6 linked regions of the Coturnix japonica genome follow. The protein of the gene in region 1 interacts with the protein of each later gene in a biochemical or structural test. Links are inferred from orthologs where the notes say so. Each region holds a gene or a part of one and is shown in the gene's direction. Other genes may lie near its edges.

Region 1 (3,500 bases):
ATCTTGTCTAGGTAGAATTTCCTAGTTTTGGGGTTGCAGTGGCTCTGTGTGAAAATTTGGGAAATTCTCATGAATCTGAAAAATTTTGGGAGGCGAAATGGGTGGAGCACCACTTTATGAACAGAGCAGAACAAGATGTTTGGCTTTTGGATCCTGATTTAAGACTGTTGAAGAAATGGGCAAAGAAAAGCTCAGTATAGCCGTTCCTTCAGTGAAGACATGCATTTTATTTCTGCCAGCTGTTACAGTTCTTTTTCAGCCTTTAGTTGGGAATGGGTACAGAAAATGACTTGAAGAGAGGGGAATGTACTGTAACTGTTAAAGATGTCACTGCCAAGAGAACAAATTTGTGTCTGGATGTGTTTGACACTTTTTCCTCTTGCACTTGGAACTTTATTTTTCAGTCAGTGATCTTGTCCTTTGTACAAGATTCAGCTCAAACACCATGCTTGTACCACATAGAAGTGAAACTTTTGCAAGCTCATACTATGTACTTCCACATTCTTAGCAAGTGGCTCTTTGTGTCTCAGCCTCTGCTCTCAGGTACCTTCATGAGAACAGGATCATCCATAGAGACTTGAAACCAGAGAACATTGTGCTGCAGCAAGGAGAGCAAAGGGTAAGCAGTAATGTGGTGTCTGCCTACACAGACAAGTAAATGTAAGTGGAGAAGGTGCATGTGCTTGCTGCAGTTACAGTGGCGAACATGCAGAAGCAGTCAGCCTAGGGTAACAGCTCTCTCAGATCTGTGTGTCATTCAGCACCCTTCCTGTGTGTCTTTGAAGAGCTGAACTGTTTTTGTCTGTTGTACGTGTGCAGCAAAACTTGCCTCTAGTGTTCTTCTTTTGTTTTGTTTTTCAGTTAATACACAAAATCATTGACCTGGGATATGCTAAGGAGTTGGATCAGGGTAGCCTATGCACATCCTTTGTTGGGACACTGCAGTACTTGGTAAGGAAGGTATTCAGCTAGATGGGCATCTCCCACTTTGCTGTGGGACAAAGTTAATAGTGCAATTCAAGTTTGGACTGGGATGAAGTAATCATCTTGGTAGGGGGTGCGTTTGGGGTGCTGCAGCTGACAAAGATAACGTCTGCCCCGTTTCCCCCCTCTTTTGCCTTCCACCCCGATGGATTATCATAGTGTCTATGATAACACAGTGTATTGTATTTATGAGAAGCAGGAGTATTCTGTGAGATCTCAAAGCTCGTGAGAGGCAGTGTTTCAGCACAGCCATTAATGTGATACAAATGTTATTGAGCTCTTGAGGGACAGAGAGAACTGAGAGATGGATGGCTTTGACTTCTGCGTGTGTAAACTGTCTCAGGCTCCAGAGCTGCTGGAACAGCAGAAGTATACGGTTACAGTGGATTACTGGAGCTTTGGCACACTGGCTTTTGAATGCATTACAGGCTTCAGACCATTCCTACCCAACTGGCAGCCAGTACAATGGTGAGTGACCTTGGGCCAGGTGATAAAAAGAATGCATGCGGTGCCATTGTCCTGTCCATGGGAAGTAGAGGTGTGGTCCCTTGATTCTTTAGGGTAATATCCCTGTATTCCATACCCTTATGGAGATTGACTTCTTTTACTGGAGTTTGATCTGCTTGAGCAAGTTGAGCATTCCTTAGATTTCTCTTGGGAATCGGGACTGGCTTCTGCAGGGCAGGTAGCAGAAACTAAAGCAATGTCTTTGTTTTAACTGTAAAAGTTTGCTAACGTGTGTGCTGGGAAGGGCAAGTGATAACTTCACTGTTGTACTTGCTTGGAATTCATTAGGCACACGAAAGTGCGACAGAAGAGTGAGCTGGATATTGTTGTTTCAGAAGACTTATCTGGAGAAGTCAAATTTTCTAGCAGTTTACCCCGCCCAAACAATCTAAACAGGTGAGGACTAGAAATCTGTCGTGATCTGTTGTGACGTACTGAAATGAACTTCCTACTCAGAATGGACCACGTTTTATTTTATATGCTTTTCTGTAAATAAGTTGAGTGCTTGGCACAAACAGTGCTTGTGCACCTTATCAGATGTGTAGGTGTGTCTCCATTTCTCCTTCTAAAGAGCACATTTACACTTGGGAAAAGAAAATTGGTTCAGTTTTTCTGCAGAGACTTGTCCATGTCGTGATTATAGATGCACTTTCTTTTCTGATCCGTTCTTGCTTTGGTCCTTCAGTGTTTTGGCTGGGAAACTGGAGAAATGGCTGCAACTCATGTTAATGTGGCACCCACGGCAGAGAGGTACTGATCCTGTCTATGGGCCCAATGGGTGTTTCAAAGCTTTGGATGACATCTTGAATTTGAAGGTGAGCAATGCACCTGGGTTACTTTCCCAGCAAGCAGTTGAACCTAGTCCATGAGACAGAAGCCTTGAGTCATCAGCCTAGGAGGTGGAGCAGCACAGAATCTTACTTAGCAATGTGCTTTTCTCATGCTTCTGGGAGTAGCAAGTAGCTTCTGTATGTTCTTGATCCTGCATTCTGGCAAAGAACTCTGCTGAAAAAGCTGTTTAATTGGCACGTGAGCTCTTTTCCAGCTGATGAAAGATGAGGTCTTGAGCATATAATGTTATGAAGTAGCTGCAAAGTGACTTTTTGAACTTTGCATGTGCTTTGAAGCAGTTTATTGGTGGTCAGTGTCTCAGTCCAGAGATTTCTGCTCAAACATAACCGTTTGTTTTCAGCTGTTCTCATGTCATGCTGATCTCCTTTTAGTTACTGCATGTTTTGAACATGGTGACGGGAACTGTGCACACCTACCCTGTGACAGAGGAAGAGACCCTGCAAACAGTGAAGGCCAGGATCCAGGCAGATACAGGAATCCCAGAGCAGGATCAGGAGCTACTGCAGGAGGCTGGTCTTGCATTGTTTACTCAGAAGCATGCAGCTGATAGCAAAGTGAGTCTGGATATTCCCCTTCCTTGGCTGTTCTGCAAATTTGCAAGTGCAGCTCTTGGGACTACAGCACTCCCTGCTGTTCTGGTCATGTTCTTTCTTGGAGAAGAAGAGCATTTTGTTTGTGGTGTTACTGGTGTTTGCTGTTTTTGAGAGATCACTGTTGTGTCTTCTGTCTTTTGCAGGTGAATGATGCTGCAGCTGCAGACACAGACCTCCTCTTCCTCTTTGATAATCAGAAAGTTGCCTATGAGGCTCAGGTTGCCTTGCGACCTCATCCGGAAAGTGTTGACTATATCCGTAAGGACTTTCTCTAGTACAAATGTTCATGTTGAGAGGGCTGTCTGTATTCTGTAGTCTGTATCGTGGGCAAAGAGCAGAGAGAGATTTTGTATATTGGCACTAGAGAAGCAATAAAAGAGCCTGGCGTGGCATTTATTCAGCTTTTAAAAATAACTGAAGGAAGGAAGGGGAAGCTGCAAAGATGGTAGCCAGCTCTAAAGTTTGTAAGAGGTGGGGTCTTGGCTGCATGCCTTTCAAGGGAGTGATGTTTTAGTCTGTTTTGTCATGTGATAATGCTACTTTTAAGCTTCATACTGATTTCCC
Region 2 (3,500 bases), on another chromosome or scaffold:
TGTGTGCCATGGAGCTCCCGCTCCGCCCACCAAGCAGCAGCAGGAGCTCAGTGCCACCAAAGGGCTGCACGAGGCCGCCAGCGAGAAGCAAAGCAGCGTTTGCAAAGTGGAGGATTCCAAGAAAGCCATCTTCCACAGCCAGTGGAAAATCCTCAACGACGTCATCACCAAAGGAACAGCAAAAGAAGAAACAGAAGGAGGCTGCGCGTCCATCTCCATTATTGCCCAGGCAGAGTGTGAGTAGCAGGGAGCGCTGCTGTTCATTGAGAAGGGCCGCGCGAGGCGGTGTGCGGTTTCACTCTCCTGGGGAGCCCAGCTGGGATCTATTTGTAATCCCACGTGGGGTGGAGCTGCTGACACATCCTGGGCTCTATTTAGGCAGCGCATGAAACCTCTTAATAATGTGGCAGCATTATTGAATGGCACGGAGTAACAGAGCAGTGCATGGCTGCTGCGCTGTGATGGCAGGAAATGCATCACAGAGTCCTGCCTGTGCTCTTGGCTGCTGCTGAGGAGCGTTCTACAATACTAATAATGGTAGAAATGCTGAGAGGGGGTCAGGTGGGGGACAGCAGGGGATCAGGAGGTGGCGGTGCAGTGCTGTGGCTCTGCTGGGTCTCCATGTGGGTTAGTACATTGGGAGGGGGGGGTTCCCCTCCTCCTTCTTACCATCGTGCTGAAGATGTGCAGTGATCTTGTTTTCTTTCACATAGGTGAGAACAGCCAGGAGTTCAGCCCCACGTTGTCAGAGAGATCCTTCATTGCCCACAGCAAACGTTACAGGTGAGAGATCCCAGAATACAAATGCTGCACTGCTGTGTGTTGCCCCATCCAGGTCGATAGATCTGTGCTCTCTGTGCTGTCTCCCTGTCAGTGCTGCCTGCTCTGCTGCTCCATCTGGGAGCTCAGCTTTGTCTGAAATCACTGAGCAGACCTGCTGCTTTTCAGGGGTGGATAAACAAAAGGGGAAGAGAACCTCTGCTTAATAACAGCATCAGCAAAAGGGCTGTGAATAGAAGCAGCTCAAGGCTCAGTCTTCTTGTCCCCGTTTGTAGCTGTAAGCTGAGGTTGTGCTTTCCCCATCCCATCTAAGAGCTCTCACACGTCTTGGTTTCCAACAGCCGCTCAGACAGCCTCGATCAGATCCCAAACAATGTGGCCCACGCGACGGAGGGGAGGATGGCTCCCACCTGCTGGAGGGGGAGGCATCGTGGTAAGGCGAGGAAGAAGCGTCACAAGAAACGATCCAAGCTGAAAATACAAACAGTGGCTGCTGGCAGACGGGGCCCCAGAACTCCAGAACAGGAGAGCTGCACTCCCATTCCCGTACAGGTGAGACCTTGTGGGTGCTCGTGTTGTGTTGCCAGGACCCCTACAAAGCACTGAGCCCTCCTGGTTGTGTCTGGGCACTGTCCTGAGGCTCCCACTGTTCTCTTATGTTTCCTAGGAGGATGAAACACACCACAGTGCTCTCTACAGAAACAGCTTTTGGTTATCAGAACTGAACAAGAACTGGCTTTACGATCCACCCCCGTTTCAGAAACCCGAGAAAGTTCTGTCCGCAGGCAAACTCAATTCAGTGGGCAGCCAGCACAAAACTGACCTGCACAAGCTGATAAGCCCTGTCCAGTGCCTTAATCATGTCTGGAAGCTGCACTACCAGAGGGACAACGTCCCTCAGCCTGAAACTGTCCGTCCTTTTCCATACAACATCCTGCCCCCTCCATTCCCACATCTGGACAGTCCTATCCATCCCATGAAGCTTAATGCTCTGGAGACATATTTCCATCACGATCTCAATTACCCAGACAGTGAGCATCGCTTGTCTGGCCTGAACTTGGGATTCAGCTTCCCCAAGTGCGTCAGCCAGTCCATGAAGAGCAGCTTGGACAAGGTTTCTGTGGAAGAATACTTGGTGGACGCCTTGAAGGGCAGCGTGAGCCTCGGGGAGCCGCAGAACTTGGCCAGCCTTGCCAAGACGTGGAGGGGAGGCGGTCTGGACCTGAAGGAACAGCTTCAAAAGGCAGATGAGAATGAAGGCGTGCTGCTCACTGAGGTGATCTTCCCATCCTACACAGTCCTGTCGTGGTAGGCAGAGCTTCTCTTGGGCTTCCAAAGAGAGAAGCCGTATCCTTCTGTCACAAGGCTGCCTTTTCCAAGGGGATATCGATACGGTTGAACACTTTCAGGCAGAGATGTGACATTGTTCTTTGGAGGATATAAAGCCCCGGCTTAGCTTGGAGACTCTCATTTGTCCATACGTTTGCTTGTCTGGGGGAAGCATTTCTGAGCATTGGGCCTATTTTGTTTCACCTCAAGGCAGCGACAGAAGAAACTGAGTTGGTGGATTTTTAGAGCAGTGATGTTGTACTGTTTGTTGGGAGCTGTTCAGCTCCACCGACAGCAGCTAAAGTTTCTCTGCTTGCTTCATCTTGTTTTGTGGTTCTCCTCCCCTAGAAACTGAAGCCGGTGGATTACGAGTACCGAGAAGAGGTTCACTGGACCAAGTGCCACGGCTCTCTGGGCATCGGCTCCTTTGGAGAAGTGTACAAAGTAGAGGACAAGCAGACGGGATTCCAATGCGCTGCCAAAAAGGTAATTATGTGTGAGGAGGGGGGTGATGTGATGTAGGAGACCAGGCTCTATAAAGGGAAGGCGTCCCGTCGCCATGCAGGCTGTAGGTGTGGTCATAGCACGGTGACGACGAGAATCCAAAGTGCTTTGTTTGCACGTAACGCTGGCGTGGTTCCATCACCTCTGTGCAACTGTTCCTCAAATGGCTGCCGGAGACAACTGGAAAGAGTATTTGTGTGTGTGTGTGTGTGTGTGTGTGTGTGTGTGTGTGTGTGTGTTTTGGGGGAGTTTATATTGAATCCAGATGAGTTATGTGTGAAAATCCATCTGAAAGCCTTCACTCGTTGCATTGGTTGCAGTGCAGTGGCTGTCTCATGGAGGCAGCAGATGAGGCTCATCCAGGCTTCCTTTAAGCGTTCTGTTTTTCAGCTGGATAGAAACAAACGTAGCTACAGCACACAGAAAAACATGACGGGCGTCACCAGATCCGTTCCTCTGTTCCTCCAGGTGCAGGTCGAACACTTCCGTGCAGAGGAGTTAACGACGTGCGCGGTGATAACGAGCCCTAAAGTTGTGCCGTTGTATGGTGCTGTGAAGGAGGGACCTTGGGTGACCATCTTCATGAAGCTGATGGAGGGTGAGGAAGGGATGGTGCAGCACAGTGACACGGATCTCCTCCCTCCCATCTCATTAACTATCGGGTGCCCCAGCCCTGTACTCGTGGGTGTGCTGGGAAGCCGCCTGCTGTCCCCGTGGGTGTCTGGCTGCTGTTGCTGTTTCTGGGCAGTGTTTCCAGCCCAGCCTTGCTCCATTCCAGCTGCACATTCCCATTGAAACACAGAGCTGCTCCCTCCTGGTTTTGGTGCTGTGTTTATCTGTGCGTGTTGCCTGATGGCAGAGCACGCTGGACAGACAAACCTGGGTGC
Region 3 (3,500 bases), on another chromosome or scaffold:
CTGAAGCAATCACACAAGAACGGTGATGCTGCACCCTGATTTCTTTGGAGTCTCCTCACTCTTATTCTCTTCCCAACTCCTAGAGCTGCTAATTTGTGTGATTCACTGTTGTATCAACTGGAGCTGTCAGCCAATAAGTTGCTTGGAAGGCATGGGAAGGAGCTAGGATTGCTTCCCAGGTGAAGAGCGTGCATGCGTGGCTGTCACCTGGAGGAGCAGAACGGCTTGAGGAAGTTGTGCATGTTTTCACCTGCGGTTATTACGTTGATTTCTGCGTCAGTTTCAGAATTGAAGCCTTGAGTTTCTACTGACTCGTTTTTCCTGGGCAGCACCCGCTAGCTAAAACCATGAATCACCGATGTGCACAGTGTGGTTTGGTGGTTTGAGTTATCATTCGGTTCGGTAATCCAGGCTGTCCATTTTTCTGAGCAATGCTGATTTTTGGGCACTTGTTTGTTCTCCTGGCAAGTGAGATTAGAGCAGAGAGTTGAATGTCCAGCAGCGGAAAACCACTCGTTTCAGTTGTAGAGGACCTGTAAACTCAACCTGCCGCCTAGATTTGAGGCTTCCTTGCTTGATAATTTCATGTATTTCCTGAACTCTTTATTGTGGGTGTAAACAAGTGTAACTGCTCAGTGGTCTGGGAGTTGCTTAAGATGGTGGTGGGTTGTTTTTTTACTTTTAAAGGGCTGAATCATTGGTTGTGAGTCATCTGTGGTCTGACACACTCTGATCCTCAGATTTTGATCAGTAATAACGAATGTACTAATTCTGGTTTGGTTACACTTACTGATGTGCTTTCACTTAATCTGAATGATTGCAAACACCTTTCCTGTTTTCCTTTCTGGAGATGTATGTGACTAATCTTGCATCTGTTTTTGGCACGATCTTTGATGCTTCCCTTTGTTGTTTATATTACTGGCTTGTTTGACTTTTGGACTAGCTGTATATATTCCCTTGCTGGAAGATGCATCATTGGCTGAAGGGCCAGTTTTTTATTGCTCCTATCAGACCATCTGTGTGAACGATCTTTTACCCGTTTCCCCACAGACAGTCAATCTTGTGAGGCTGCTGGAACAAATGTTATTTCTTACTTAATTTTGGAATGTTTGCATTTATCCTGCGGTCAGCTAATCAAGCCTGAAATGACAGCTATTTAAATATGTGATTTTAAAAATTCTTTTATTTTTAAACTTGTTACTATTTTAGCAGCTGGTGTCTTCAGTATGTCTGATGTGTGACAAAGAGCTCTGAAATCCTTGGGGGAAAAAAATGAGTTATTGCTTTGTTAGAGTCGCCAAGCCCTATCCTTCTTAAGGTTTTAAACGTGTTAACTTTCTCCTCCAAAGCTTTAATTTTGGGACAGAAACAGGGTAGCGTGGGGCTGTCATAGCCATTTCATTTTGCATATCCTCTCTGAAGATTGCAACCACAAAGCTGGTATCAGCGTTGTGGTTTACCCTTACTGGTTTGCTCTTCTTTTGCTACAGCCCTCGTAGCCAAAAGTAAAAAAAAAAAAGGCAAAAAGAGATCTGTGTAGTTGGGCAGCAAGGTACCTTATTGACTGCAAAAATGAAAGCTGGGAACACACTGCAACGCAATGTAGAGAAGTTAGTATAACAAAGCTCAGTGTGCAGTTCTATGGGCAGGAGAGATGGTATTCCTTTTCATGTTGATGTTGTTTAATTTTTGATTGTCTGAATACAGGGTCTATTTTTTCTCTTGGACCTGCAGTCTGAGGACTTGTTCATGTGTTGTGCTGAGTCTGCCCACATTCTCATGCGCAGGGTCTTTGGCTGATGACTCATCTGTTCTGTGGTCCTAGCAGGATGCAGACCTTTTGGCCATGACACAAACAGAACATTTCTCAATTCTGCTGCTGGGAACGGTGTCCATTTGCAATTCAAGCTGTTCGTTAACCCTTTGTTCTGCTCTTCCTTCCAGTGCATACATGCACACATCATACTGCAGTCAAGGCAGTCATTTATATTGTTAAAATAAATAATATCAATAACATAATAATCTATAGCTAAAGTAATTCTAATTAAATTAGAATTGAATACCCTACTGTGATATCATCCTGTGCCTTTTTATTCCAGACTTGCCATCTGGTTTTCTTATTCAGTTGTCCTGCAGGTACTGGATGCATTCTTCTCTCTGGAACTGTTTCTAGATTGACTTATTCTTTTCCTTAATGAAAACATTCCTTTGCTCTTGGTTAATTTTCTTGCAAGCTGCAGCATCTTCAAGGCGTTCCATCTATATGTTGTACATCACCAAAAATATTTGCTCTGTGTACAGCTAGCTTGTATTAATAGATATGACAGGCATGGCTCCCTCTAATACTGAGCACTGCTGAAGTCAGCTGTGCAGTCTGCCAGGAGATGAGAGATTCTCTAACATTTTTCTTTCTTTTTCTCCCTTTCCCTGTTTGCTGTTTGCAGGTTATCTTAACATTTGTCTGTGTGCTGATGGAGGAATCAGTAGGAATTGCTCCAGTGCCATATATGCTGCGACTCCGTCGGGTAACTTTGGATGGAAGAGATCCCTTTAACCTCTTAAGGAGAGAAAAGAGGCAGGTGCAGTGTCAGCTTGGACAATACCGACATCCCAAAGGGACCCACTGCTGCATGAGGTGCCATGCAGGTACAGTTCAGTAGAATAAGTGCATTACTTTTCACCTCAGTTGCATTCCCTTGTCCCGTGCTCTCATTCTATCTTGTTCTATAGTGACGTCAGTGCTCCGTTTCCTTGACAGGGAATTCTTTCTTCCTGTCTCTTTTCCTGGACTGTCAGTCTCCTCTATGCTGGTGAGAAGATATATGCTCAGTCCTTTCCCTGTAGATTCCAGGGTTTCTTTGAGGATTCAGTGACTTCAATCCTCCCCAAGACAACACATGTATCTTCCTGTCAGATCTCTCTTAAGCTGTTTTTGTTGCAGGTACCTACAAGTCAAAAGACTGTGAACGGCCTGATCTGGCCCCTGTCTGTCTTCCCTGTCCTAATGGCACATTCACAGCTGTTGACAACATCATGGAAAAATGCTTCCGGTGTACACGGTGCCGTACAGGTGAGTTATCTGTGGGCCCTGGGGAAAACTGGTGGTAGTAGTAGCTGAGGGTCTGGGAAAAAAAAGTGTGTAGATTAGGGGCTAATAACAACTGTTGTCATAACAGTGGTCTCAGCTGAAGGTAGAGTTGGTTCAGTCACTTTTCATTCCTTTCCTCAGAATTGCGGCAGATAGAAGTGACCCCATGCACCCTAAAGCAGGATACCGTGTGTGGCTGTCGGAAGAATCAATATCAGTTTGGCCAGGCTGATTTCTTCCAGTGTAAGAACTGCAGTCCGTGTGTTAATGGAATTATTGCTAACTGTAAGTATAGCATGGGTATACAGATATATCTACTGGCAGATGCCATTAAGATAGATGTTAGCATCCCTCTCCTTGCTTTCTACTGTGGTGCAGCAGCTTGCCCTTAAGCGATTTCAGCTTTGGGACA
Region 4 (3,500 bases), on another chromosome or scaffold:
CGCGGTGACATGCTGTAAGGAGGTGGAAGAACAAGGGTGTGCTTTTTCCTCTGTTAATTCCTAACTGCCTTGGTGTTAAGAGAAATGTCTCCATTTGTTTATCATAGAACAGCCCCAAATCCTACTGAATTCTTCAGTTTGTATTTTCATTATGTGGCTCCTCTATTATTAAACCAGAGATGTGGCGACTTTGGGATCTTTCAAACTTTGTAATGCAGGACAACTCAGGGTCATGATTGAGTTGCTGAAGAAGCTTGTAGCAGCTGTGTCTTTCTGTAGCCTAGAAGGTCCTTGTGCCCGCTGTATGAGCACCAAGGTTTCTCTTTTGTTTCTTGGCTCACAGTGTAACATTTAAAGCACACAAAAAAGCACGTCTTTTACCCAGCAGGGAAGTAACTGTCAGCAGCCCAGCACAATTATCTCCTTATCTGTAACACAGACTGAGCTTCTTCTGCTGCAACTTAGATGGGCTTTAAAAAGAGCTGTGAAAACTTGCCAGTACAAGGAGCTCTTTTCAGCCATGCGCACCATTCCGTTGTCCTAAAGGCACCCAGCTGGATGGCACACAGAGCACTTGTGAGATTGGTGCCATTTCTTTCTGTTCAGCACCAAGCTGTAAACGGTAAAGCCAAGGCTTCATTCTGTGCAGATAATCTCAGAGGCTTTATTGCGACTTCTTTCTTCTCTTTCATGTTTCGTTTTTGTGTTCGCATAAAGGAAGTTCGAAATGTGGAAGGTGATGAAAGCAAGAAGATTCTGAATTGAATTTCTGTGCCCTCTGTTTAACAGAAACAGGAAGTAAAACTGTGCCCCATACAAGAAATAAATCTCAAACTACCAGACTTCTCCAGCTGTTCTACCTTCCACTTTAACCTTAAGCCAGTGATGGGAGGAAATGCAGGTTGAGTCTAAGGTTTTCTTCTGCACAGATACTCTGAAAGATGAATCATGCTTTGTTGTATAAATTCAAGTAATTAATTGCAAATACATTGGCGTTTCCACTGACAAACACAAGCTTATTGTATAGAGCTGAAATTAGTTCCTTTTTTACAGTCATCTGTAAATATAAAAATAATGATATGGAGATAGAATCTTCTGTGTTTTTCAGATTGTTTTATTGTGAGGAATAGGATTTCCCAAAGCACTGCAGTGCCTCACTGTTCAGTGTATACTTTGTGATTGGTGAAGCTTCTTACTGACGAGGATGCAGAATACAGTTAACCTTTGGAAAAGCCTGAAATCTCAGCCTGAGAGCCTCAGTGCTGCGGGTGTCTGTGCAGAGATGGGAACCAGGCAAACAGTATCAGCTCGATGACGTTGTGCACTCTGAGCTTTGACAAACAGAACTGCGAGTTTTTTCTGCTTTTTGTATGTAGCTGTTTTGAAGGATAAGGAGATCCTAAACCTGTGGCTGGGAACTTTTAGGAGCAAAATTAGAGTATGGTTCAGTTGCGGAGGCGGAGCTGAACAGGCTCTATAAAGTGTGTGCGCTCCTTCTGTGGCAGGAGCTTGGCAGGGGGCAGCTGTAAACAGGGTTATTACTGCCTCTGGGAGTACAGGGATTCTCATTTCCCAAGTCCCTTGCATGACAAACAGCCAGGTTAGTCCCCCAGTGCACAGAGCAGGCAATGTCTGCCTTCCTCCTCAGGTCTGACTGCTGACACCAGTGAGGTGGCTTTTATTTCCACTAAGTAGAAACCCTATCTGTATTATACAGCAGAAGAAAATGTACAGAAGTTTTTCACCTGCGCCAGCATTAAAAGTGGAGCAGCACCCCACAGGAGGTGCTTTTATTGGCTCAGCCGATTTCTGTAAAGGCGTGTAGTTGCCGCTCATCTTCTCATGGCTCACTTCTGTCCCTTGCAGACCCCCTTGCACCTGGCAGTAATCACAAAGCAGGCAGAGGTGGTAGAAGACTTGCTGAAGGCTGGAGCAAATGTCAACCTTTTGGATCGCCACGGTAACTCTGTCTTACATTTAGCTGCTGCTGAAGGAGATGACAAGATTCTGGGTCTGCTCCTCAAGCATAAGAAGGCATCTTCAATGATCGACCTTTCCAATGGTGAAGGTATGGAACAATAGTGCCTGTACTTCACATTTACTTACTGCCTAGACAAGCACCGCACCATTTCTGACAGCCCAGCCTTTCTACATAGATACAGACTTTGGAAGTCGCATCTTTCCATGGTTTGCGCATTATATCCTTGGCTTTTACACACCTGCAGTCAGCTAAGAGAACAAAGACGCGCAGGCTTTGTGGTTAGACAGAACACAGAGGTTGACAATGTCCGTATTGCAGTGTGAATTGGAACTTTTTCTTCTTCAATATCACAGAATTTCAAGAGCTACGTTCCTCTTGAGCTGCCCTACAGAACCACTGTTAAAGAAATTCCACCTGAAAATATTTCCTCCTCTCTAGTGAATGAAATCCCCTCAAAAGGCATTTCTGGACCTGTGTCAAGTATCACCTCTGGAACTTTGGGACCACAGAGTCTTAAAGCTTATAAAATACCCATGGAGACCCAACTCTCCCACTATTTAATGGCACGGGTCATTTGAATATAGTACTCTTGCACTAGGTGTAGATAGTAAAATACCTGACCTAAAAATGTCATTATGTGAATTAAAAACCTGTGTTAAGTTCCTCAGAGAGGGTCTATTCTTCTTCTTATTTATAAATAGAAAGCTTTATGATTCTCTTTTTGAGCCGCTGCAGTTAATGTTGAGGTGCCAGGGCTGTCTGACCTTAACGAGCATTAGTCACTCTCCAGGATGTTTCAACAACATTCTAAGGTGAGCTCTTCCTTCTTCCCTTCTGTTCCAGCCCTGCTATTAGCTGATTGTTTTTTTTATGCATGGTTTCTAGTCCCCATCAGTAACACAAATAATTCCAACTTTGTGCACAAAGAACATTTTAATTAACACCATTTTTGGTGCTTAGACAGGCAAAGGTGCTCAGATAAATACAGTAACACTCAGTCATTTTGTAGCTGCTTAAGAAGTCATCACTGTGACATTTCTGTGTTGTTCAAGTGTTAATGTACACAAATGGTTCTGTGCAGGTCTCAGTGCAATTCACATGGTGGTGATCGCCAATAGCTTGTCCTGTCTGAAACTGCTGCTTGCTGCTGGAGTTAACGTCAATGCTCAGGAACAAAAATCTGGACGAACTGCATTGCATTTAGCTGTTGAACAGGAGAACATCCCCTTGGCAGGCTGCCTTTTGCTCGAGGTGAGGGCAGAAGTTCTTTTCCCCTGGTCTTCCCAGAAACATATTTTCAAGGCTTTTTCAATATGTCAGCCTTCAGTGGAACCGAAGTCATGTTTCTCTTTATAGACTCGATTACTTTAACCAGCATAATGGCGAAGTTATCGCTAATGTTATTTATTTGCTATTAGTCATTCAGCACCGCTGATGAACCTTTTGTAAGCTGAGAAATATAGTTGGTGACCCTGACCTGACTGCCTGCGCCGTGCTTAATTTGCACTGAGTAACCCCA
Region 5 (4,041 bases), on another chromosome or scaffold:
TCCACTTTTTCTAATATCATCTGAGTCATCACGATGGTAGGTTACTGCACATGTTCCTCCTTGGTCTTCTATTTCCTAGTTAACTGCTTAAGCAGCTTTTCCAGACTTATTCTGTAAATCAGCTTCCTACCTCATTTACTTGACATCACTGTGAGGTACAAACATTTCAGCAAGAAAGCCATGAATGCTCACTAAAATTAATCTACTAAAATTACATGCTATTAACAGTATTTTACAGTGGCATAACTTTTCTACATAGCATGGAGACTGAATGCACTCCGCTGGGGCTATGCACAGTGAGACACATGAGTCATACTCACTTCGTCCCACCGTATGTTTCACACTGTAGGTAGCTCTAAACGCTACACTTGGGAGATGGATCACCAAGATACAGATGCGTTGCTCAAGCCAGCAGTGCAAGCAGGCACTCGCTGCTGGGAGGACAGGCTTGGATTTCCTGTGGACAGGAAAGGGAGTGGTGGAGGTGTGTGTTCATTCCCCAGTCCTATCCCTTGTCTGCTATGTGTTTACACCAGTAAATTACCTTCTGCTCCTCCGCCTCCCTCCTACACACATACTTTCGTGAGAAAGTGCTGCTGTACAGCTCAGTGCTGCACTGTGCTCCTGCCTTCAGAGCCGCGGCCCGAAACACCCCGCACTTCTTCCTGCCGACACCGGGATAGGAACCGGGGCAGGGACACGCCACCCGTGCCCGCCCCTCGCGGCGCCAGCGCTGTAGGCAGAGGAAGCGGGGCCGGCAGAGCTCCCCCTGGCGGAGCCGGGCGGCGGGGCGGGGGGCGGAGCGGCGGTGCCGCCGCCAGGCCATGGCCCCTCCGCGGCCGCCTGAGTAGCAGCGGCTGCCGGCGCGTTTCCTCTTCCCGCCCCCTCCCCCTGCGCTCCCTCCCCCGCGTCCCCAGGCCGGGGCGGCAGGAAGCGGCTCTGATGTCAGCAGCGGCCGCCGCGGCGCGGCTCTAAGCGGCTCCCCCACCCCCGCCGCGGCCCCTCGCCCGCTGCTGCCTCCGGGGCGGGCGGAGGCGGCCGGCTTCGGCCCCAGGGGCGCCCCCTTCCCTCCGCCGGGGACTTGCGGCCGAGGCGGCTCCCAGGCTCCGGAGAGGCCGCGGCCTAGGGCGGCCGGTGTAGCGCGGCGCGGTGCGGGAGGGCGCGGGATGCAGAGCGGCGGCGCCGCCGGCGGGGCCCCCGCCCGCCGCCACTGAGGCCCGCGGCCGCCGCGGATGCGGCCTCGCCCTGCGCGGCGGCGCCTCGGCCAGGCCCTCGCCGACCTGCGCCCTGCAGGAGGGCAGGAGCCGCCGCCGCGCCCCGACTAGAGCCGGCCCGGCCCACCGAGCGCGGCCCCCGGCCTGCCCTGGCCTCTCCTCCCCGAGGTGAAAGAGGAGGGATGTCCGCTGCCGCCTCCGCTGAAATGATTGAAACCCCCCCCGTCCTCAACTTCGAAGAAATCGACTACAAAGAAATCGAAGTGGAAGAGGTGAGTGGCAGTCCGGCCTCTCCCGGCGCGGCCTCGCGAAGCGGCGCCTGCCTCAGGGCCGCCCGCTCCAGGGCCGCCTGTCCGAGCCGCGTTCCGTGTTCAGAAGGGGTCGCGGCGCTGCGGGTCTCCCGGTGCGTACCTGTATGCCCCTCTGGGAGCCAGAGCCTTTGGCACCGGGCAGGGAAAGGTGTGCAGGTGCCAGGTTCCTCGCTTATTGAGGACACGAGAGCGAGGGGCTGCAATGTGGGCTTTTATTTTAGCCCAGTTCGTTCTGGGCTTCAAAATTCCTACACCACCACCCGTTTTAGTATGGAGAGTTGTCAAGCACTGTCACGAGGGGAAACTGTTAATTTCATTGTTCCTTTCAGATCTCTGAGTGTTTCTGCATTCTCCTCTTGCCACCTAACTGCATCGTTGCATGTATGTTCATCACATCGGTACCAATGATTTCCTGAAGTTACAACTCCAACAGTTGACGCACATCTTCTTATTTTTAACATAGGCTGACTATGTTGCACTTGTAGATCTGTAACACTTCATCTGTGACTTGTCACTGTTACCCAGGAAGTGGCACTGGGTTACCTTGTACCATAGTATATCTCCCTCTTCTGTACAAAGTTTCACAGTGAAGTGACTCTCTGAAGTTCTTTGAAGTTGTAACTGTGGTACAGTGCGGAATTTCATACCTGCTGTTTTGCCTCCTGGATTTCTTGTAGCTGGTAAAGTTTGAGTCCTTTACTAAAGCACATATATCTACTGCAGGGGTGTTCAAATCTCAGAAACACACAAAATATTCCTGTTGGATTTCTCTCCTCTGCATTACACAGATACATGCTGAATTTATTCAGGCTAGTTTGTGGTCAGGGTCAAAGAGATATCCAAGACTGCTGAAACAGTGCTTCTATCTGTTGATTATTGTCTCTCAGTAATTATATATACATATATATATATATATATATATATATATATTCTTTCTTTTCCTTAAGATACTCTTGTGGAAGTAAATTTAGCTATTTGTAGTAGCTTTCATGGGTATTACAAGCACTGTCTCACGCTGAGTGACATGCTAGACATTGGTTTAGTCATAATCACTATACTGGGCTCACATGGCCTGGGAAAGCTCAGGAAACAAAGTCTTTGGTATTTCAGTAGAACACCAGAGCAGTTTGTGATGTATTTGGATAGCATCAGGGTACCTTCAGCTTTCACCATTGCAGACACTGGAAGCTCTCCTAGTGCCTTCCAGAAGATAGCCTTAATCTTCTTTGTATATTGCAGTCATTATGGGTTTTTGGGTTTTTTTTACTGTTTAGTATTTCCTCTTCACTTTATAAGTTTAACTGTTGTGAAATGAGAGTATTTTATGATGTTTGGGAACGAAAAGTATTTTAATCATTTGATAATGTGTTGATGTTTGTGCATCACTTACTGATGGGCAGGGATCAAACCACGTTTTTTCAGCAGAAATTGCTTTCCTCACCCAAAGAAGAAAATAAAGTTGGTAGGAATTTAGCCAGCATGAAAAGTTGTTCTGTGATGGCTCCTGAAAGTGAGTAGTACATATAATGCCTTACACATAACACTTTGAATGAGTAAAACACTGTGCAAACCCTTAATCCTCACAGCACCCTTGGAAAGACTATTAGCAAGGGCTATATTCGCCTTTGCTTGTAGGAAATGTGGAGTTGCACAGCGTGTAATTGGTGTAACTGGAACTTATCATTCTGAGTTTTAGCATTCAGGGCATGGATATGCCCTACATACTTGCCGTACTAGCACTTGCAGAGACAGGAACATATGTACATACGTTTTTGTAGATATGATGCCTAAGCAGTAATTTGTGCTTTATTTAATGTGATTGTTGCATTACCCTCCATGTAGTATTTCTGTTGGAGGTGACAAATCTCATGTAATATAAGCAAGGGAGCCCTGATGAAGTGTTCTTGTCATGAGGAAGGCTGCTGACAGCTGTTGTAACACTTTGAGTTATGCTTTTTATACCTGTCCTACAAGAAAGTCTTATTAGGCAACAGGGCTACCATAGCGCTGAATACAATCTAAATGTCATTGCACAGTGGAAGAGTTAAGATCTACCTTACATTAAAGCAAGTGGATTAAGGAAAGCAAGGCCTAAGCATGGTTCTTACGTGTGGGTGTTCATAGATGTAGTTGATGGTGCAGTTTCCAACAATACAGTCATAACAAACCATACGCTGTTGATGAAAAATTTCAGTACTTTCACTGCAGATTCAGAAGCTTTCAAAGGTTTTTATCTGGCTATAAGTACTTGAAATGGTCTATTTTTTATGTACCTGATGAGCTTCAGATGTTTCAAATTGGAGTGTCAACAGATCTACAGTGGAAACTCAAATGAATGCTTGTATAATCATAGCTTTGCTGTTGTATTATCAAGGCTGTCTTGTCAGCAGATAGCAGTTCTCCTCTGCCACGGGTTTATTAATAGATATGGAAGTTCTGAAATACTTGCAGGCACTGAGTCCTTGCTAATAAACGTGAGATCCATGAGTGCACTTCCATCTAGGTTTAGTTGATCA
Region 6 (4,170 bases), on another chromosome or scaffold:
CTATAAAAGAAAAAGTTGCCTGGCTTTCCTAAACCTGCCCAAAATCACCGGTGGCTGTCCCAGACCTTGAGATGAATAATGAGAAAAAGGCCAGGAATGGTATGGCTGGGCTGGAAACCAGGACCAGCTGTTTTTGGGAACCCACGTGCCCTCTCTGATCTTCCTCCCTCTTTCATCTCTGGGTTTTCTCCCAGGGCCTCTTGCAGAGAGACATCATCCCACGGGAAAGTGGCTGGAGCACATCTCGGGCAGTTAGTCAGCCAGGCCAGCAATTGCTGCAAGAGAAGAAAAATTCTTAATGGGAATCCCCCACATCTGAGTAGCAGCAGAGAAATTCACCAGGGAAAAGTTCGGCATCACTAAACCCACACTGACTTTAATCCTTATGAGAGGCTGCATTCAGCCAGCTTTCATTGCAAGCAGATGGGAGGGCACCAGTACAAAGCAGAGAGGAAAAAATTAAAATGGACATGGAATAAGGATGCTGACAGGATATAACACTTTTTAAGGGGGAAAAGGGGGTTTTTTGTTTGATTGGTTTTTGTTTTGTTTTTTTAATCTGCACAAACGTTCTGAAGGGTTCTGTAGAGTCCGTGGCAAGAACTGTGTGCAAAGAGTGGAACAGGACTTTCCTGCCTATTCCATCCCATGCCACTGAGACAGATTAAAATCTTCCACAGCAGAGAGGTGAGTTGTTACGAAGGCTGATGCCATACCTGCAGGCCTGCAGCCAGTATGACAGTTTAACACAAGTCAAGCACAAGACTGTATGAATCTCTCTAAACATATATATATATATATATTATCATTGTGACACCCTCAAGGCTTTGGGACATGGGGTCAGCGCAGACAAGCTCCTCTCTGCAGCCCTGCAGGGAAGTGTGTTGCTTCCCTCCCCCAGGACTGGTGCAGGACAGGCAGCCCCATAGGACAGGTGTGGGTGCTGCTGGGACAGCACGGGCACGAGGACAGAACACGTGTAGCAGGGTGGACTCAGCGTACCGACGGGAGCCTCTGCATCCACCCGTCTGGACAGTGACTGGCTTTACCGCGTCACTTCGCCACCAGCCGGCCGAAATATGCCCCCGGTCCGACGCAGGTCAGACGAGCGCTGGTTAATGCCTCCTCGGGGAGGCCCTCTCCCCGATCCGGGCGGGGAAGCCCCGGGCGGGCCGCGGTGCAGGGCAGCGGGCCGGGCGCCGCAGGGAAGTACCGCAGGCACCGCGTTACTCAGCGGGACGGCGAGTACTTCCCCCTCCCCCCCGCAGGCACGGCAGGGAATTCCGCCGGGCTGGGCCGGGCCGCGCTGCTTTGGGCCGGCCCCGTTCCTCCCCGGCCCGCCCCTGGCGCCGAGCAGGACCGGGCTCGCCCGAGTGGCTGGAAATTCCCGCGGCGGCGGCTCCTCCCCCGCAGAAATCCCCTCGCCGGGCTGTATAGGCGCCGCCGCCGCCGCCGCCGCCGCCGCTCACTCGCGGATGCCCGTCCGTGTCGGAACGCCGCCACCAGCAGCAGCAGCCGCGGCGCCGCGCCGCCCCTCCAGCCCCGCCGCCATGCTCAGCGCCCACCGCCCCGCAGAGCCGCCCGCCGTGGAGGGCTGCGAGCCGCCCCGCAAGGAGCGGCAGGGCGGGCCGATGCCTCCCGACGACCGCCACGACAGCGGGCTGGATTCCATGAAGGAGGAGGAGTACAGGCAGCTGGTGCGGGAGCTGGAGGACATCCGCCTGCAGCCCCGCGAGCCGCCCGCCCGGCCGCACGCCTGGGCCCAGCAGCTCACCGAGGACGGCGACACGTAAGTCGGGGCCGCGGGAGGCCGGGCCGGGGCGCGACGGCGGCGGGGAGGCGCCGGGCGGGGAGCGGAGCGGAGCGCGGAAAGTCCCTGGAGCGGAGCCAGGAAGAGGCGGCTCCGCGGTGCGGAAAGCCCCGGCTTTCGAAACCCGCACATGACTGCGGCCGTGAGCCGGGGGCCGCGTCAGCCGCGTCCCGCTGGGGGGATTTGGGTCTCACGTGGGGCGCTTCCTTTTTTCCTCGGTGCAGTTTCCTCCACTTGGCGATCATTCACGAAGAGAAGTCCCTGAGCTTGGAGGTGATCCGACAGGCCGGTGGCGACGGCGCCTTCCTGAACTTCCAGAACAACCTCAGCCAGGTACGCTGCGCCCCCGGGCCGGGCCGCCCCCGCAAAAGGCCCGCGGGGAATTCCCGAGGAGAAGTTTCTGTGTAATTGAATGGATGTGAAGTCGGAGCCCACGTTGGGGAAAGCACCTGGCTCACTCCATGCGGTGGGGGTGCAGCGCTTTGTCCTGCTGCAGCCTCTCGCGTTTTTCATACGCGATGCAATGGATCGCATTCCTCTCCATTGGGATGTTAATGATGCCCTTCCATATGGATAGAATATGTGATATCTGGAGAGCCCCAAGTCTACCATACCATACCATAGCTACCAGACTACAGAGCAGCAGTGTGCTGTGCCAGGAAGCGCTAAGAACTGACTTGCAGTACTTGCATTTGGGCAGAAGTCCTCAATAGCCACTGCAGGGTTTGTGTATTTGAACCTTTGCTAAACTTGTCACATAACTCAAAGCCGTGTGTTCCCTCCTGCCTGCAGACTCCTCTCCACCTGGCGGTGATCACTGACCAGCCTGAGATCGCCGAGCACCTGCTGAAGGCTGGCTGTGACCTGGATGTCAGGGACTTCCGTGGGAACACCCCGCTCCACATTGCCTGCCAGCAGGGCTCGCTCCGCTGTGTCAGCGTCCTCACACAGCACTGCCAGCCCCACCACCTCCTCGCCGTCCTGCAGGCCACCAATTACAATGGTACGTGTGCTCTGCCCTAGCAGAGATCTCAAGAGAAGTATCTTCTTCCCATTGGAGTGCTGAGGAGGGCCCAAAGCAAAGAAGCATCTGACTTCCTTAAGATGTTGTGGGTTCAGCCTTGCGGGCCTCCTCGCTCATGGTCATTGGCTCTCATGGGCCTTAAATTTAGTATTTTTAGTGAGTGCTTCTGCAGTACTCATAGCAGTTATGTTTTTGTGGGTTGTTTTTTTTTTTTTTTTTTAGAGGGTAAAGTTGTTACAGTAAGGCACAGTTAAAACCTAGAATAGATCCCCTAAGAAATCCAACCCAATCCAAAATCCAACCCAGTTATCCCTGTTATCAGGAAGCTGGAAAGCTGTTTTGAAAAACATGGTTTTGCCCCGGTTGATTTACTAACTTAGATACTCTTCTGTCTTATCATCTTGACTTTAAACAAGTTATGGGGCATTAGGTAAGACTTACTCAAATTTTGCCTTTGTTTTTATCTTCCAGGACATACATGTCTCCATTTGGCATCTATTCAAGGATACCTGGCTGTTGTTGAGTACCTGCTGTCCTTAGGAGCAGATGTAAATGCTCAGGTATGTAATTTATGCTATGAATTTAAGTGAGCTGTCTAGTCGGAAGAATCAACAGGTGTGACAGTGCTAAGCCTCACTCCCCTAATGCAATACCTCATGTTGTATCCAAACAGGAGCCATGCAATGGGAGAACAGCACTACACTTGGCCGTAGACCTGCAGAACTCAGACCTGGTGTCACTTCTGGTGAAACACGGGGCAGATGTGAACAAAGTGACCTACCAAGGCTACTCCCCATACCAGCTTACATGGGGACGAGACAACTCCAGCATACAGGAGCAGCTGAAGCTGCTGACCACAGCTGACCTGCAGATACTGCCCGAAAGTGAGGACGAGGAGAGCAGTGAATCAGAGCCAGAGTTCACAGAAGATGAAGTAAGTCCTGTTTGCTTCTTTTCAAGAGAAGAGTCACATCCTGCTCTTTGTTGTTTGGCTGGTACTGCAGTGAATGACCTCTTCCCTATGTAACTTTTGGGGGTTACAGCCCATGAAGTAAGGTTGTACTGCCAGCCATCAGAGGGGTGGCAGTTAGGGCAGGGTGGCAGTTAGGGCAAGGTTATAAACAGAATGAGCTTAGGAGTGAAATATAAATAATACAGTGGGTAACAGAGGGTAGCTTCACACTGTATTATTTCTCTGAGCTGATGCCTACAGAACTTAATGAGATAAAATAGTTAATGGGTGGGTTTGGTCTTCCCAGCATTTGTTTTTGTGATGGTTAAATAGCAAATGTAACCATTTCAGTGTAGAAGTTGCAGACGTACTGGAGTTAGGGCA

The links.
Region 2: of the proteins of IKBKB (region 1) and MAP3K14, one has a biochemical effect on the other in vitro, tested with the Homo sapiens proteins (3 studies listed by BioGRID and IntAct, with this or other methods). The link is inferred for Coturnix japonica from reciprocal best matches to the Homo sapiens genes IKBKB and MAP3K14.
Region 3: of the proteins of IKBKB (region 1) and TNFRSF1A, one has a biochemical effect on the other in vitro, tested with the Homo sapiens proteins (2 studies listed by BioGRID, with this or other methods). The link is inferred for Coturnix japonica from reciprocal best matches to the Homo sapiens genes IKBKB and TNFRSF1A.
Region 4: of the proteins of IKBKB (region 1) and NFKB1, one has a biochemical effect on the other in vitro, tested with the Homo sapiens proteins (4 studies listed by BioGRID and IntAct). The link is inferred for Coturnix japonica from reciprocal best matches to the Homo sapiens genes IKBKB and NFKB1.
Region 5: of the proteins of IKBKB (region 1) and MAP3K7, one has a biochemical effect on the other in vitro, tested with the Homo sapiens proteins (5 studies listed by BioGRID). The link is inferred for Coturnix japonica from reciprocal best matches to the Homo sapiens genes IKBKB and MAP3K7.
Region 6: of the proteins of IKBKB (region 1) and NFKBIA, one has a biochemical effect on the other in vitro, tested with the Homo sapiens proteins (58 studies listed by BioGRID and IntAct, with this or other methods). The link is inferred for Coturnix japonica from reciprocal best matches to the Homo sapiens genes IKBKB and NFKBIA.

Annotation. Positions count from the first base shown.
Region 1 is NC_029537.1:4,090,047-4,093,546, forward strand, and holds part of IKBKB (inhibitor of nuclear factor kappa-B kinase subunit beta), read left to right. Parts: intron 1-530; coding exon 531-619; intron 620-861; coding exon 862-951; intron 952-1,327; coding exon 1,328-1,452; intron 1,453-1,779; coding exon 1,780-1,887; intron 1,888-2,176; coding exon 2,177-2,306; intron 2,307-2,714; coding exon 2,715-2,897; intron 2,898-3,079; coding exon 3,080-3,194; intron 3,195-3,500.
Region 2 is NC_029542.1:888,616-892,115, reverse strand, and holds part of MAP3K14 (mitogen-activated protein kinase kinase kinase 14), read left to right. Parts: coding exon 1-236; intron 237-713; coding exon 714-783; intron 784-1,121; coding exon 1,122-1,332; intron 1,333-1,447; coding exon 1,448-2,056; intron 2,057-2,457; coding exon 2,458-2,595; intron 2,596-3,081; coding exon 3,082-3,211; intron 3,212-3,500.
Region 3 is NC_029516.1:71,182,997-71,186,496, forward strand, and holds part of TNFRSF1A (tumor necrosis factor receptor superfamily member 1A), read left to right. Parts: intron 1-2,444; coding exon 2,445-2,646; intron 2,647-2,941; coding exon 2,942-3,070; intron 3,071-3,229; coding exon 3,230-3,373; intron 3,374-3,500.
Region 4 is NC_029519.1:54,747,493-54,750,992, forward strand, and holds part of NFKB1 (nuclear factor NF-kappa-B p105 subunit), read left to right. Parts: intron 1-1,866; coding exon 1,867-2,068; intron 2,069-3,062; coding exon 3,063-3,232; intron 3,233-3,500.
Region 5 is NC_029518.1:68,395,939-68,399,979, forward strand, and holds the start of MAP3K7 (mitogen-activated protein kinase kinase kinase 7), read left to right. Parts: upstream 1-1,241; 5' UTR 1,242-1,396; coding exon 1,397-1,486; intron 1,487-4,041. UniProt on the Homo sapiens protein: Serine/threonine kinase which acts as an essential component of the MAP kinase signal transduction pathway. Plays an important role in the cascades of cellular responses evoked by changes in the environment.
Region 6 is NC_029520.1:32,789,818-32,793,987, reverse strand, and holds the start of NFKBIA (NF-kappa-B inhibitor alpha), read left to right. Parts: upstream 1-1,370; 5' UTR 1,371-1,475; coding exon 1,476-1,789; intron 1,790-2,034; coding exon 2,035-2,143; intron 2,144-2,602; coding exon 2,603-2,813; intron 2,814-3,305; coding exon 3,306-3,394; intron 3,395-3,507; coding exon 3,508-3,768; intron 3,769-4,170. UniProt on the Homo sapiens protein: Inhibits the activity of dimeric NF-kappa-B/REL complexes by trapping REL (RELA/p65 and NFKB1/p50) dimers in the cytoplasm by masking their nuclear localization signals.